Linked DNA regions of Oryzias latipes. The protein of the gene in region 3 purifies or fractionates together with the protein of the main gene of each other region. This does not show direct contact. Links are inferred from orthologs where the notes say so. Each region holds a gene or a part of one and is shown on either strand. Other genes may lie near its edges.

Region 1 (3,714 bases), on a different chromosome or scaffold from region 3:
GTTTCAAGTAGGTGGAACTCTTGACTTCTAAACATTGAAACTGCTTTGGAATCAGTGAAGCGGAGAGGGTGTCATTTAAGGCTAGATAAAACCAGCTGATCTCTTTTCTTAGAAAACAAACGTGTTAAAAGTTACATTGTAGGGTTTTCTTAAGGTCAACGTGAAAAACAACTTTAGGACAAATCTTTTTGAAAGGATCTGTGATCAAGTGCCATTGTTATGGTGCATTATCCATTTTTGATTGATTGATTCACTTTTGAGGATAAGATGTCACAAATAACCTTGTATATTTTGATACATTCATGAGTTTATGGTCAATTCAAAGGCTGCTCTGTATAATTATCCCTCCACCTACATGTTTTTTTTTTTTTGGCACTGGAAGCCACCTTTCCAGATCCTCTACATTGCACATAAATGTATGACCTTGGATGTTCACAGTGGTGTCAACAAGAGATGACACTTTTTTCATCTGCATTGACATTTGACACATTTCCTTTGCATTTATATGCCATAAACTCAACTCACTTGTACATTATGTTACAGGGCAATGCCACACAAGCCTTCCTGAGATCTTTACATCAGTTTTTGAGTGTCCTGCTCATTACCAACCCGCCATGGCTGGCTCTTAGTACAGGGAAAAAATATTACATTCAAGTGCTGCAGTGTCCACAGTGTAAGAATGGCTTGTGGCCTTTTTTAGAGACAGCCATCAGGTAAACTACAAGTCCCATGAAATGTCTTATAAAATGCTATCACATTATTAATGAACAAAGTGATGTTTTGGTTCATATCTACAAATACGTGTGATCTTTTAGGTATTGCCTGTTCGACAGTGCCACTTGTCACCCCCTCCCTGGACCTGGGCTGCCAACTCTAATACATTTCAACCGTGACATTCTGGCACTTTGTCTGAAGATTTTCCAAGGGGAACTCCACTGTATTACAAGCAGGTAACAACTCCAAAGGCCCTTTTCTCATTTTCTTTTATTGTATTTTCAGCATCACAAGGCACACTGTATTATAAGGCGTAAAAAAGGTAACAGAAGCAAAACAGTGAGTTTAGTTGAACTTTATTCCACTATTTAGCAATCCACTCGCATCAATCCTCTCCAACAAGCCCCACAAAGTTCTATTCTTTGATGTCCGACTTTAATAATTTCGCAATTTCTGATCAAATGTACTGCGTTCCCTCTCATTGCCCTGTAGTTGTTCAGCAATGATGCCAGCTTTGTCAAAAGCTCAGACAACAGTTACAGCAGATACTTTAGCCCATGCGACCACAATCCATTAAGGCGCCGCCTCCCAGTCTTAGTAAGTGTGTGTGCGCCATCTGTCATCCATCGCTTCCACGAACAAAGATGCACACCCTAGACTTCTTTTCTTCCAGTAACTCCGGGAACCTTATTTTAAGGCCTGAAGGGGACCTGACGGAGTTTGATCACACACTAAGTCAGCATGACTAAATCCGAGTGACTTGCGCAGTCACGTGCAGCAAACGTACTAGAAAACTATCTGCGTAAACTTTGACTGGATCTTTGTGCAAGAGGGGAGCGGGGACTTCCAGGAAAGCTCAAAATCAGACGCGTGCTCCAATGTAGTTGCATGGGAGGGGGAAAGGCTGTCCACTTCTGGACATGACTTAATAACACAATAATCTCCGGGACTAACAGACAATGGAATGCTGTCAGACAAATCGTGCCCATATTTTCAGGACTGCACATTCGTAATGGTGCAGGGTGTGCCGATCTTTATGTTTAGGTAGCACTAAGGAGAGTTTCTGCAGTACCTTGAACTTTACCTCTGAACACATTGTTTCTTGGAGCAGGGCTATACCCCTTTTACGAGTAACGCAAGACAAACTGCCTTATAGTTCGTAAAGTACGGTATTTTTTATTTTTGTGGTCATCCTAACCTGTCAAAAAAGATCTATTCTAACAAATATATGGATTTCATCTGATGATGGATTCTTACTTCCCTTCACAACATTTATTTTTGCCTCAAGGGTCATTCCACTATAAATGTCACTAATGGAGGTTGTCAGTAATTATTTTTCTTACCTTTCTTTTATGTACCTTTCTGTCCGTCAGAGGTTTCCTACAGGGAACACGAGCGTCCCCTTCTTTATCATCGTCGTCATCAAGCTCCTTGTTGTACAGAACCTTCTGGACTGTGTGGGAGCGCTCGACGTTACTGTCCCATGCTGTGAAACAACTTGCTCAGCTCTTAATCCAGGCTGCAATGGTGGTAAATGGTTTATTTTTTCTTGTTGGTTAAGGAAAATATAGCTAAATCACTTAAAATTTGGTTTCTTCAAAGACCCACTCCGACGAAAACCGTGGTTTTGGTGTGTTTTTTAACACGTTCTTGTGGCATTTTTCTGATGATAGAGGACATTTATAAAAAAATTAAGCTTGTAATTGCCATTCTGGGTATTTCTTCATTCAAATCGTTGGGAATCAGGAGCAGCAGAAAAAAAGCTGTTTAAAGAGGTTGTAGCTGTGATGTAGAAAATTCTATGAAGCAAACCCCAACCCCAATTTCTAAAGAAGTACTGCCACTCTGCTGAAACTATGTCCTGGAAAATGACAGTGTTTTTAAATTGTTTTTTTTTTTTTCAATTTAAAAATAGCATAATCATATTTAAAAGACCACTAGGAATACTTTTAAAGTAGGTCAAAAGGTGATCAGAGTGGGACTTTAAGCTTGTAAAACGTAGCTTTTCAGGTTTACCGAATCCACAGTGCCATGTTGTTTACTCTAATTAAAGGACTATGCTGAGAGAGACGAGAACCTGCATTTGGCAGACATCCTGTTGGACCTGCTCTCTGTGTTGGTAGAGTTCTGGTACCAGCAACACTTCAAACTGAACCAGATTCTGGTGGACAAAGGTTTCAAAGACCTGTCGGAACACCTTGTCATTATTACCCAGGGTATGTAAAAACAACACAAAGTTTCAAAAGTGATTGAATCCATTGTTGATATGGGACTTAACCCTTGTGCTATCCTAGGCACATTAACATGATTGTGGGGTCATCTAGACCCCACAAGACAGTGTGCTAAACTTTTTTTCTTCAATGATATGTGATCTTCACTGGAATCCTCTTCACCTTTATCCACCTTTGTTCTGTTAGGATCGGGTCATCTGGACCCCATAGGATAGCACAAGGGTTAAGAAAACTCTGCAAACGTTTGTTAGTGTTTGTGATTGTTTGTTTATTAAAACGTAATTTCTGACTGAATGCTATCCTGCGTATTTCCTCTGCAGATGTGTCTCCATCTGTTTTAATTGAGTTGGTGGCCAGAGTTCACTCATCCAGGTTTCGTCTGGTGATGGCCGATGCCATGTTCCGGAATCTCTGCTGCAGAAGCGGCTGCACTCTGGGAGACGAACCTCTTTCTCTTAAGAAGATGGTGGGCCTTCTTCCTGTTTGTTTTTTTCTATAATGTATTTAAATACATGATTAGTATTAGGTTTATTAGTGACCGACAAAAAATATTCAGAGATATTGGCAGATTATTTCTGTCTGTCTACAGTAAATGCTGGTAAAAGCCTTTACTTTCTTAAATTATCAAAATTGTGCTTTAATTGGATCAAAACACCACTGATATTTAAAATATATATATTCTGTGCCTTAAAAAGAAACACCCAGAAAAATTCATAGGTTGTAATTATTTTGTTCCCATCACTGAACATCCTTTTTATAATGACATATC
Region 2 (3,714 bases), on a different chromosome or scaffold from region 3:
AAAAGCTAATTTTGACTCGCCTCCAATATCACCAAAGACACCAGCATCAGTGGCGAAGTGTCAGACTCCCAGAGAGAAAGGCCAGAAACCCACCAGCTCCATTCTAAGCCACTTTTTCCAGAAGAAGGTTAAATCGCCGTCCGGCAGAGAAGCCCATCAAGATATTCAGTCAAGGGAATTACAGACTGCACAACCTGGCAATTCAGGGAACGTTCAAACAGGACAACTTCGGACATCAGTGGTTATAAAGGAAGAACCAATGGATGTGGAAGACTCCTCCACTCTGACCTTCGGTGCAGTGAAACACGAGGACATGGCTTCATACAGCTCTAGGTTTCACATGACAAATCCCTCACCATCAAAAGATGTTAAGCCTGTAATCAAAGGTGAAGTTCTTTTACCTTTAGGCTAAAAGCAATGCATCTTCAAGACATTTGATCTGTCTTTGATCGCTGTTAGATCAGTCGTGGAGCTCCAGCAGCACCAGAATAGAAAAGGGTCAAGATCCTCAGAAGATTTAATGTGCTGTAATCTCATCATAAAAGCTTTCAATTAATTACCTGATCTACATGGCAAAAATAATCTGTTCATTTGGTTGAATACTGAGGAAAGGGAATATGATGTTTTCTGTAGTGTCCAAAGTGTTTTTTTTTCCATCAGGTGCAGCAACAGAAAGGTTTCCTGTAGTAGATGCATCGATGAAATAGGTGATGGCATATTTATCTGCTTTTTTTCAGTGGAATGTCCAGTTTGTTCTGTAAGTGTGTCACAACACTTTATCAACAAGCATCTGGACTCCTGTCTTACCCGAGGAGAGAAGAAGGAGAGCCTGCGGAGGTAAGGAACCCTTACGATACATCACCTAAATGAGCACACTGTACTGTTGTTTAATCAATGTTAGCTCTTTAGAATGAAGTGACGGCTCAATAAAAGTTAGGGTATTGGCTTTAAAGCGTTAAAAAGCTAGTATGTGCATTTTTCACTGCCTTTTTGGGATGAGCATCAGAGTTTCAGCTTTTGTTGTTCAAGTATGAGGGAGTGCATCAAGCAGAGTGGGAGAAAAGGGGCCTGATTTTAGGGGTTTGACCCTCAGTGCCCTCGCATAGCATTACAGAAAGTCTTTGTAATGTGTTTGCATGTTTAATCACTTTTTGTTTTTTTAGTTTAGCTGGACTCAAACCAGCTGAGGCTTTATTTTTACCTCTTCAGGCAAAAGAAGAAGAAAAAGCTGATCCAGGTGTATTTGTAAGGGGAACAATTGTGAGGCAATTTTTCTCTGTACAAAGTCTTGTACAGAGAAAAATTACACAAAGACCACAACTATCCTGTGGGCAGATTTAAGGCAGTTTCATCCTATTAAGTTCTGAGCAGAGGTTCTATCAGCTGACTGCTTTTGAATGATCTCTTGAGTTTACACACAATAGGATCTAATGTCCGTTTTGACCCCAAACCGTTGAGTTACTTATAACGTAGGAGCAATACTTTGGACAAAAAAAGATTCTGTGTGGACTTAAAATCAGGATTAGGTGATCAGTTCTCCTGGTTTGGGGTAAAACTCTAGCAGAATAGTTACATCAGTCCAGTCTGTATGATAATATTTGAGTTAGCTTTTCTAAATCTAACCTGAAGCGTTCTGTTTCACCAAATCAAGAAAAGGCTGATGTCGATACAGAATTGATGTGAAATTACAAGCTGGGATCTAATTGAATGCTGACGTCAGCATTCTAAATAGTTTCTTTTTTTGTTTTCTTCTAAGCCTGTAGAGCTTTGTCTCTCATTTCCAAAAACAGTTTATATCCTGTCCTTGTTTAACCAAGGAACATTTCCTCTGCTTTTCAGGGAGCTCCACGTTGTCCATGAAATTGTGAAATAAAAAAGTTATTAGTGCGTGTGATCTAAATGTTGTGTTGATGGGTGGCTTTGGTAACATCAGGCAGTCCAGCTACTGTCTGATTTAAAGCACAGGCAGCCTTAAAGGTCATCTTCTCAGTATGGTATCCCTTTGGTTTAGAAATCAACATACAATATAACCAATTCCAATACAAACATTTTAACAAGGAAACAAACATTTGCATTGCTGTAATCCTCTTTGGTCCCGTCACCCAACAGAGTTGTCAAACCATTTAATGTTAATTACCAATTCTTTGCTGAAAACGATTCTTAATTTTACACATTTGCTACAACAAACGTTTCCATCATTTTTCTTCCTGTGTATTCTGTCAAAGATGGGAAAGTTAGAAGATTCTGAATTGGTCATCTTTTAAAGAGTTCTATGCAGCACTTATGTGTTTTTGTGTGGCAGCACCAACACCTGACGTTTCGTCGAGTCAAGTCGGTTTGACAAACTCACATTGCAATATTTTCTGATACAATGTGTTTACATGCTGTGGTATGATGGATCAGCTTCACACATTCGCCCTTGTGCTTTACACATCACGGCATTCTGGACCGTCGGTGATTGATGGTGGGACTTAGCATAGAAATCCGCCTCAGGAATTACCTGGTGAATTCCCAACATAAACAGTCAATTTGTCTTTTTCAGCTCTCTTGGCAAAGCCAGGCGTCCAATGGCGAAGCTGGTGTACAACCTACTTTCAATGCAGGAGCTGAGGAGGAGGCTGAAGGAGTGCCAACTGTCAGTGCAGGGTTCTCGGGACCAGCTAGTCAGGAGGCACCAGGATTTTATCCATCTGTTCAATGCAGAGTGTGACTCCCTCAATCCAAAATCAGGTGGTGAAATGAATTCTGTATTTATATTTATACATGTTCAAGAAACCGCTAGGAATAACCCAGCGGCATAGTTCATGTAGGTGCTCTTTCTATGATGTTTTTTTTAATGTACATTGGAAATCACAAATGTATGCTGCTAGACAAAGTACCTGAAAGTTACTCAAAGTACATCTTGTTCTGAGCCAGCAACCTCAGGTGCTCTTGGGTTGTTTTCATCAGCCACACATGCACAGTCGCAAGAACATTGTGTGTTTACAAAGCTCTAAAGAATACACCAAATAACCTGCTCTCAGCTGATCAGGTGCTTTGTTAAGAAAAAAAAGGAAAAAAACAGCCTGATGAACATAACACTTTTGCTACCATTCATTATATCACACCTTTCTCCATTTTCTATCAACAGTTGAAGAGATTGCAAAAGAAGTGGAGGCCAACGAGAAGATGAGAAGTCAACTTCAAGGGAAAATCAAACCTGTAAGTACTTTTCACTGGTGGAGAGCTTGGCACTTCTCTTGTGAAGTGAACCCTGTTTTTTTGTGATGTGTATCTGTAATGACTGATAACAAGCTGAAAGTGGTTTAGCACTTTTATAGCGGCCCAAAAGCTTTATATGGATAAGAAATTCAAGATGTATGCAAAGGCTGCTATCATAGCACACCATGTAAACAACTGCTAGGTCAAACAAAGTCACAACTGTTTTTAAAATGTTCTCTTGAAGGTCATGGTTTTCTCCAAGAATCATTCTGAGGAGGAGATTGAGGCGATGCATTCAAACTATAGTAAGTGCTTTTTGTGCCTACTGCTGACATTTATCCATCCTCTTTTAATAACTGTACTATCTTTTCTTCTTCTCTGTATTTAAATAAGAACAACATAATTGGAGATTTCTGTTTTTTTTTTTTTTTTAGAATGTGGGTGGATGAATCGATCTGATCCAAGCTTGATAAATCAATAGTTGATCCTTAAAAGTAGAAATCGATCTTTTAT
Region 3 (2,634 bases):
AGGGCTAAAAGTAAGTAAAGATAAATCACACGTCATTTCTTAGATCGTACACTAGTTAATAATAAAAAATTTAAATAGCAGATTGAAAGAGGGCTTCCTGCTTATGTTTTTGACAGAATTTAAAGAGGAACTAGCAGCTGTTGAAGAAATATCCAGATGAACTAATCATAAGCAAAGCTGGCCACATAAAAAATTGGTGGCTAAGATGTGAAATTGAAAAGGATCAATGGCAGCAGCAGTGGTATGCCTATTAACCAGGTGAGACCATTTTCCAAAGCAATATTAAGATAGTTGCAATAATAATACTATGACTTAAATATGTTCTTTTTACTCTTAAAAACGTATTTTGTATAATTTAATCTGCAGCCCATCTCCCCTCTATTCCTACTTTGACTTGATCATCTATTTGTAAGAGCTAAAGCTCCTCATATGGCAGTTTATGTTTTACTTCAACTAAACGTGTTTTTTGTTGAGCACACAAAACCCCAACAGCTTCTTTGACTTCATTCAGCTAGCTTCAAAATAGCACAATTAGATGCCAGAGTATACTTAATAAATACTTAGAACATAGAATCAAGTACCAAATTATCTATATTTTTCTTAATTTTTTAATAAAAACAGAGGAATTTTTATCCTAAATATCTTAGCATACACTATCAAATAATTTCAACAATTTTAGTGTAAATCTTTGCACATAAAGGCGAAAAATAATTTAAAAACAATAGTTTTTATGGTTCATTAAAATACAATATTGTAAATTGCAAAATTTTTCATTTTTACTAAAAAAATGGATACAAATATTTTGGTCAAAACTTTAAATTTAAGGGTAAACCTAACCAAGTGTTAAGAATGAAAAGCTGACATAACAACCCAACATGAATAGAATAACATATAACCTGTGTGAAAACAGTGTGAAACCAGTGTCATTTTTTTGTACATATAACTAAATGATACTAGGTCTGAAGCTTTACTAAATGTAATGCAAAAAACAGAACATATTTTTATAGCATAATACATGAGAACAAATACAAATGTACAGTTAGTCTGTTAAAGATCTATTACCAAAAAACCAAACAGTGCAAATAAACATGAGGCAAAGTCCTTTAAAGGTTTACTGACACACAGGTTATTAATGCGTCTCTTCTTGTGAATCAATTGGAGTTGAGTTCCCGGCACTGCCTTGCTGCAGGTCACTAGTCACTGCCTCTTCAACTGTGTTAGTGTCATCCTTGCTGGTGTCTCCTTCGTTGTCACTTGTCTGACTCGGTTCTGGATCGTTTACTTCATCCATTAACCCCTCGATTTTTTCTTCCTCCTCAGCAGTCGTAGATCCTTCGTCTTCATCAGTTGAAAGCCTATCCTGTTCCTCCTCATTCATTTCTTCATCAACTGTGCCCTCTTCCTCGTCTTGGCTGGAGCTTGTGATTTCTAAAGGTATATAATAATCGTAAAGCTTACCCTAAATGAAAAAAAAAAAGGCACAAGCATCACAAAATGAGTCAGAGGACAACCGTAATCAAAACGTGCTGCACATGTATCAATAAGATAATGACTAGCGTACATTGAGTGGTCTCGTCCTCTGAAGGAGCATCTGCCATTTGGTGTAAATCCTCGCAACCAGGTCTTTCAGCTGTGAGAAGAGAGAAAACTATTCTTCACTGTTGAGCCTTACAGATATTTTAAGGGAAGACTTTTAATTGATGAAAATAGTATTAAAACTACAGGTCACTGTTTATTCTAATGACTTTGCCGACTATTGTGAACATGTGCAGCAATAATTCATTAACCCTTGTGCTATCTTAGATGACCCCACCCTTACATTGACGTGTTCTCCCTACCATGACAAAGGTGGAAATATTACATGGAATCCATGGACACCAGAGAAGATCACAAATCATTGAAGAAAAAAGGTTCAGAGCACTGTCTAGTGCAGGGGTCGGGAACCTATGGCTCGCGAGCCATATATGGCTCTTTTGATGGTCACATGTGGCTCGCAGACAAATCTTTAATTATAGTTTTTTTTTTCATTAGACCAGTCCTTCTCGGGCGCGATGCGATGCCAGAGGCGCGCAGTAGTAGCAGTGCTTAGAGAGAGAAATCTGCGCCAGCGCTATCAGTTACTATTATCTATTATTTCACAGAGTTTGTACCAGCTGGAAACCTTTGAATTGACGTGCCTAAAACTGCGCGCTCCCGTCTCTGAGAAAGAGCGCGCAGATGCGGGGACGGGATGTGTGAGGGAGAAAGCAGAGGGTGGGGGTGAGGGGTTGTGGGGACAGCAGGTGAATCGCGCAGGGATTATAAAAACGTAAAACCCACTGCCTGTCACCCACTGCGGCGTGTGAGTATAGGTTTGGCTCCCCGTCTGCATGTGAGCAGTCTGTCTCACATCTACAGAACATTCAGACCTACGATCACGTTTAAAGTCTCAACACCTGCATGAAGCAGAAACTCACCACGTATCAACCAGACTAGACCATCAGCAAAAATACCACGAGAAATACTCATCATTTATTAGCAACAGAATAACAATGTTATTAAAAAGAATCCACAGACTTATTGTACTTTAAAAATGTTGAAATTACATCAAATGCACACATTCATTTGTATATTTAGTTTTAAACATATTGTCGC
Region 4 (3,714 bases), on a different chromosome or scaffold from region 3:
TGAGTGCTGGGCCCTGCCAAATTTCCAACTGTGGCCGAGCCTGGTCGGGCCATATTTACAACACCCCTTGTGGGCCCTCTTTTTTCCCCGGGGTTCCCCCCTCCTGGGCGGGGGCGGCGGGCCCCTGCCTCGCTCCTCCCTGGACCAACCGTGGGCCGGGCGGATGGCTGCCTGGAGTGCGGAGCGGGTCTCCCTTGGGGGGGTCCTGGCTCGTACCTGGGGTTGGGGCGGGGAGATGCCCGGAACTCCTGGGTGGTGGTGGGGTGCTCGTCTGGGGCTGTGGGCGTCCTTCTCCGGTGGGGCCCTGCGTTGGGTTCTCCCGGCGCGGCGGGGGGGCTGCTCTCCTGGTTGGGCTGGGGCGGCGCTCTCTTTCCCTCCGTGCCTCCCTGCTCTCTGGCTCTGGGGGCCTTGCGGCGGCCCTGCTGGCCCTGGCCTGGGTGGCGGGCTTGGTCGCCCGGGCGGCGGTTGTTCCCTGCCGGTTCCCGTGTGGCGTTGGGGGGATTCCGGCTGCCGCTGCTGGTGCGGTGGGGGTCTTGGGGTGGGGATGGCTGGGCACTCTCCCTCCTTCTTTTCACGTTCCACCCTCCATTTTAGAAGAACATAAACACTCACCTGACCACAGGTGTTAGCTCAACAGACTGAATGACTGAAATATTTCACACTAGTTGGTTTTAAGGCATAAGTATGCGTGTGAACACTATCTGTTTTGTGTACATGTCGACAGGTGGACATTTTTGCAACTAACAGGTGTGTTTATAACATTTGAGTGTGTGTGTGGACAGGCTCCGCCCTTTTTTTTTTACATTTAAACCTTACCATAATGATTAACAACCAGTAAACTTGTTGCTTTATGCTGCTTCATGGTCTTATCCCCCTTCCCCTTCTATTATCACCCCCTACCCCCCCCTCTCTCTAACGTCCCTCTCTCTTCTTCCCCTCTTTCCTTTTCCGTCCGGTCCAACACCAAAGATTTTCAGACATGTTTGAAATTAATAAAGTTTGGCCTCAATTACAAAAGGGGTTTATTCAGACATACCTTTGGTTTGTCTGAAGATTAATAACCCCTCTTGTTAAAGTAAAATATGTCCAACCCAAGAGGCCCTCAGCTCTCATCTGACTGCCCAGCTGTTGGACAGGACAAGTTAAAAAAAAAAAAAAAAAAAAAAAAAAAAAAAAAAGAAAATAGATCAACAGATTATTGGAGTGGGACTTGAAACATGATCATTCCAGATTGTGCAGAAACATTACTTTACATTTAAAGAAAACCTTTTGAATCACTTGTGATCACAATATTCCATATAAATCTAGAAGGACAAACCAACACCTACTGTACTTAGATTGGATGTCCTTAAAATGTACTAAAGTATCTGGTCTAAAGGAATACTCAGAAAAATGAGTCTGAAATGTGAGCCATCATTTGCATCACTGCAGCCAAATAAGCCGCCACTTGATATGGAAACATACGGTCCTAACATTTGAATATAGTGAAACAACTCAAGGCCAGAAGACACACAAGTACCCATGTCATGTTTAATTTGCCGTGTGACTAAATAAACTAACCTGTGGCATTGCAAATGCAGAAAGTTTACCCAAATAGATATTAACAAACACAAAGATCATTTTTTCCTGTCCTAGTTGATCTCTTTATGTGATTTTAAAATAAAATGTGGAATATTCGATAACTGTTATTCACCACAACAGTAAAACAGAGATCACTTTTTTTTTTTTTTTTATAGTCATTTCAGTGATCAAAGACATCTTCACTTACCTCAGAGACTCAATATTCCTTGAAGGCGGGCGCTTAGAACAAGACTCCTCTGGAGCAGAAATAGAGTTCACTTTTAAGTTCATCTTGTCGCGGACCTGATGAGCAAACGGGAAAAAGTAATAAACTGAACAACTGCAGGAGGTCAACAGGCTTACAAAGACCAGTTTATGGAGGTTTTCCTTTCACCGTTTGCTACCAACTGTTGTCAAACTGCATTTCTATATGACATCAAGGACCCCCCTGACCTCAGTCATGAACTTTTCCATGTCATCTTTCCTCTGGAAGACAAACGCACGCAGGTCCTGGAATGCGATGTGGTTCTCCACATATTTAGCGAAGCGATTATCCTTCACGTTGATCTGAAGGTAAAAGCAGGACATTCGTCAAAAATGGTACAAGACAATCCTGACATCATCACTGCCAGAAACAAAAAGGACAGTTGTGTCACATTTACTCTTTATTCTGTGTTCACATGTTTGGAGTCTTAACAAATCAAAAAAGTCATCCTTTTCTGTGGAACTCACCACCAGCATAATGGGTTCATGGACCTCCCCCTGGAAGAGGCTTTTGTTCTGCCGCAGCCACTGAAGGGCAGTGTATGTGTCCCTGTGACGTCCTCGCAGCTTCTCCTCCTTCACATTCATCATATTGTTCATGTCGTTCAGTTTCTTTTCCAATGCTACAGAACAAAAACGTTTTTATCCAACATTCTGCTAAACTTGTTTATGATGGTTCAACATGGAAAACACGGCGCAAACGGGCTGGGACATCGCATTTGTTTGACGTTTCCTGCAGACTTACTTCTGGACTCAGCTATGAGGTTGTCCTTCTCCCTACGCAAATCCGCCTTCTCTCCTTCGATCTTGGCTTTCTCCTCTTGGATCTGCCTCAGCTCCAGGTTGACGGCATTAATCTGTGGCGCTACGTCTGGTTGGTCAGCCACTTTGGCCAACTCTGCTTTTAGGTCATCAATGGCCCGCCTCGTATTACTGATTCGTTTCTGGTGGTCCTCTTCTTCCATCTGCTTCAGTCTCAACGCTTGTTTGATGTCATCTACCTGCACAGAAGGGAGTAAGCTAAGTTCTTCTGGGAGTTTTTTGTTTTTTTATTACGCTTGTTCTGCCAAAAAATATGCATCGTTTTTTGTTTTGTTTTTTACAGATGAGAGCTGAAAGCCTCTTGTGTTGGACATATTTTACTGCTACAATGGGGTTTATGAAACAGTTGACACACTAAGTGTACCTTTATATAAACCTCTTTTGTTATTTAGGCTAAACTTTATTCATCTTACTCATATCTGTTGGACCAGACGGAAAAGAAAAGAAGGGATGAAGAGAGAGGCATGGGGGGGCGTTAAATAGGAGGGGAATAGAACCGCGAAGCAGCATAAGGCAACAAATCCAAGGGGGGGGGGGGCTGTCCACACACACACCCAAATGCCTCCAAAAATGCCCACATACAAGATATGTCAACATGTACACAATACAACTGACGGTCACACACTTATGCATTCGGACCAACCCATGTGAAATGTTTCATTTAATCACTCAAACTATCTGTGCAAAGGTGAGACAGCACCTGTGCTCGAGTGGATCTTTATGTTCTTCTAAAGTGGATGATGAAATCTAAAAAGAAGGAGGGAGAGTACCAAGCCATTCCCACACTAAGACGTCCGCCGCTGCAGCAGATAGAGAACAACTTCCCGCCGGGCAATCACATCCGCCTCCCAGACCAGGGCCTGGCATAGGGGGGCCCAGAACAGAACAGAACAAAAACCTCTCACCTCTTTGTGTTTTCGGTCCAGCTGATCCTGTTTCTGTTTGCACTTTAAAGAGGCTTCTTTGATAGCTGCAGTCTGAAAAACATCAAAAACATCTCATGAATCTTGAGAAAATTATATTTCTCAAGCATTTATGAAAAATAAACTTATAAGAAAACCGGTAGGA

Evidence for each region. The genes of interacting proteins can lie anywhere in the genome.
Region 1: the proteins of SMC5-SMC6 complex localization factor protein 2 (region 3) and slf1 purify together in Homo sapiens (co-immunoprecipitation; 3 studies listed by BioGRID and IntAct, with this or other methods). This does not show direct contact. The link is inferred for Oryzias latipes from reciprocal best matches to the Homo sapiens genes SLF2 and SLF1.
Region 2: the proteins of SMC5-SMC6 complex localization factor protein 2 (region 3) and rad18 purify together in Homo sapiens (affinity purification with mass spectrometry; 3 studies listed by BioGRID and IntAct, with this or other methods). This does not show direct contact. The link is inferred for Oryzias latipes from reciprocal best matches to the Homo sapiens genes SLF2 and RAD18.
Region 4: the proteins of SMC5-SMC6 complex localization factor protein 2 (region 3) and smc5 purify together in Homo sapiens (affinity purification with mass spectrometry; 3 studies listed by BioGRID and IntAct, with this or other methods). This does not show direct contact. The link is inferred for Oryzias latipes from reciprocal best matches to the Homo sapiens genes SLF2 and SMC5.

Annotation. Positions count from the first base shown.
Region 1 is NC_019867.2:15,917,959-15,921,672, forward strand, and holds part of slf1 (SMC5-SMC6 complex localization factor protein 1), read left to right. Parts: intron 1-543; coding exon 544-713; intron 714-815; coding exon 816-950; intron 951-2,087; coding exon 2,088-2,244; intron 2,245-2,767; coding exon 2,768-2,930; intron 2,931-3,265; coding exon 3,266-3,411; intron 3,412-3,714. UniProt on the Homo sapiens protein: Plays a role in the DNA damage response (DDR) pathway by regulating postreplication repair of UV-damaged DNA and genomic stability maintenance.
Region 2 is NC_019863.2:2,784,856-2,788,569, forward strand, and holds part of rad18 (E3 ubiquitin-protein ligase RAD18), read left to right. Parts: coding exon 1-386; intron 387-737; coding exon 738-837; intron 838-2,542; coding exon 2,543-2,730; intron 2,731-3,130; coding exon 3,131-3,201; intron 3,202-3,445; coding exon 3,446-3,506; intron 3,507-3,714. UniProt on the Homo sapiens protein: E3 ubiquitin-protein ligase involved in postreplication repair of UV-damaged DNA. Postreplication repair functions in gap-filling of a daughter strand on replication of damaged DNA.
Region 3 is NC_019873.2:22,424,104-22,426,737, forward strand, and holds the end of SMC5-SMC6 complex localization factor protein 2, read right to left. Parts: intron 1,631-2,634; coding exon 1,562-1,630; intron 1,460-1,561; coding exon 1,130-1,459; 3' UTR 591-1,129; downstream 1-590. UniProt on the Homo sapiens protein: Plays a role in the DNA damage response (DDR) pathway by regulating postreplication repair of UV-damaged DNA and genomic stability maintenance.
Region 4 is NC_019865.2:11,194,218-11,197,931, forward strand, and holds part of smc5 (structural maintenance of chromosomes protein 5), read right to left. Parts: intron 3,624-3,714; coding exon 3,552-3,623; intron 2,826-3,551; coding exon 2,570-2,825; intron 2,448-2,569; coding exon 2,293-2,447; intron 2,128-2,292; coding exon 2,014-2,127; intron 1,864-2,013; coding exon 1,769-1,863; intron 1-1,768. UniProt on the Homo sapiens protein: Core component of the SMC5-SMC6 complex, a complex involved in repair of DNA double-strand breaks by homologous recombination.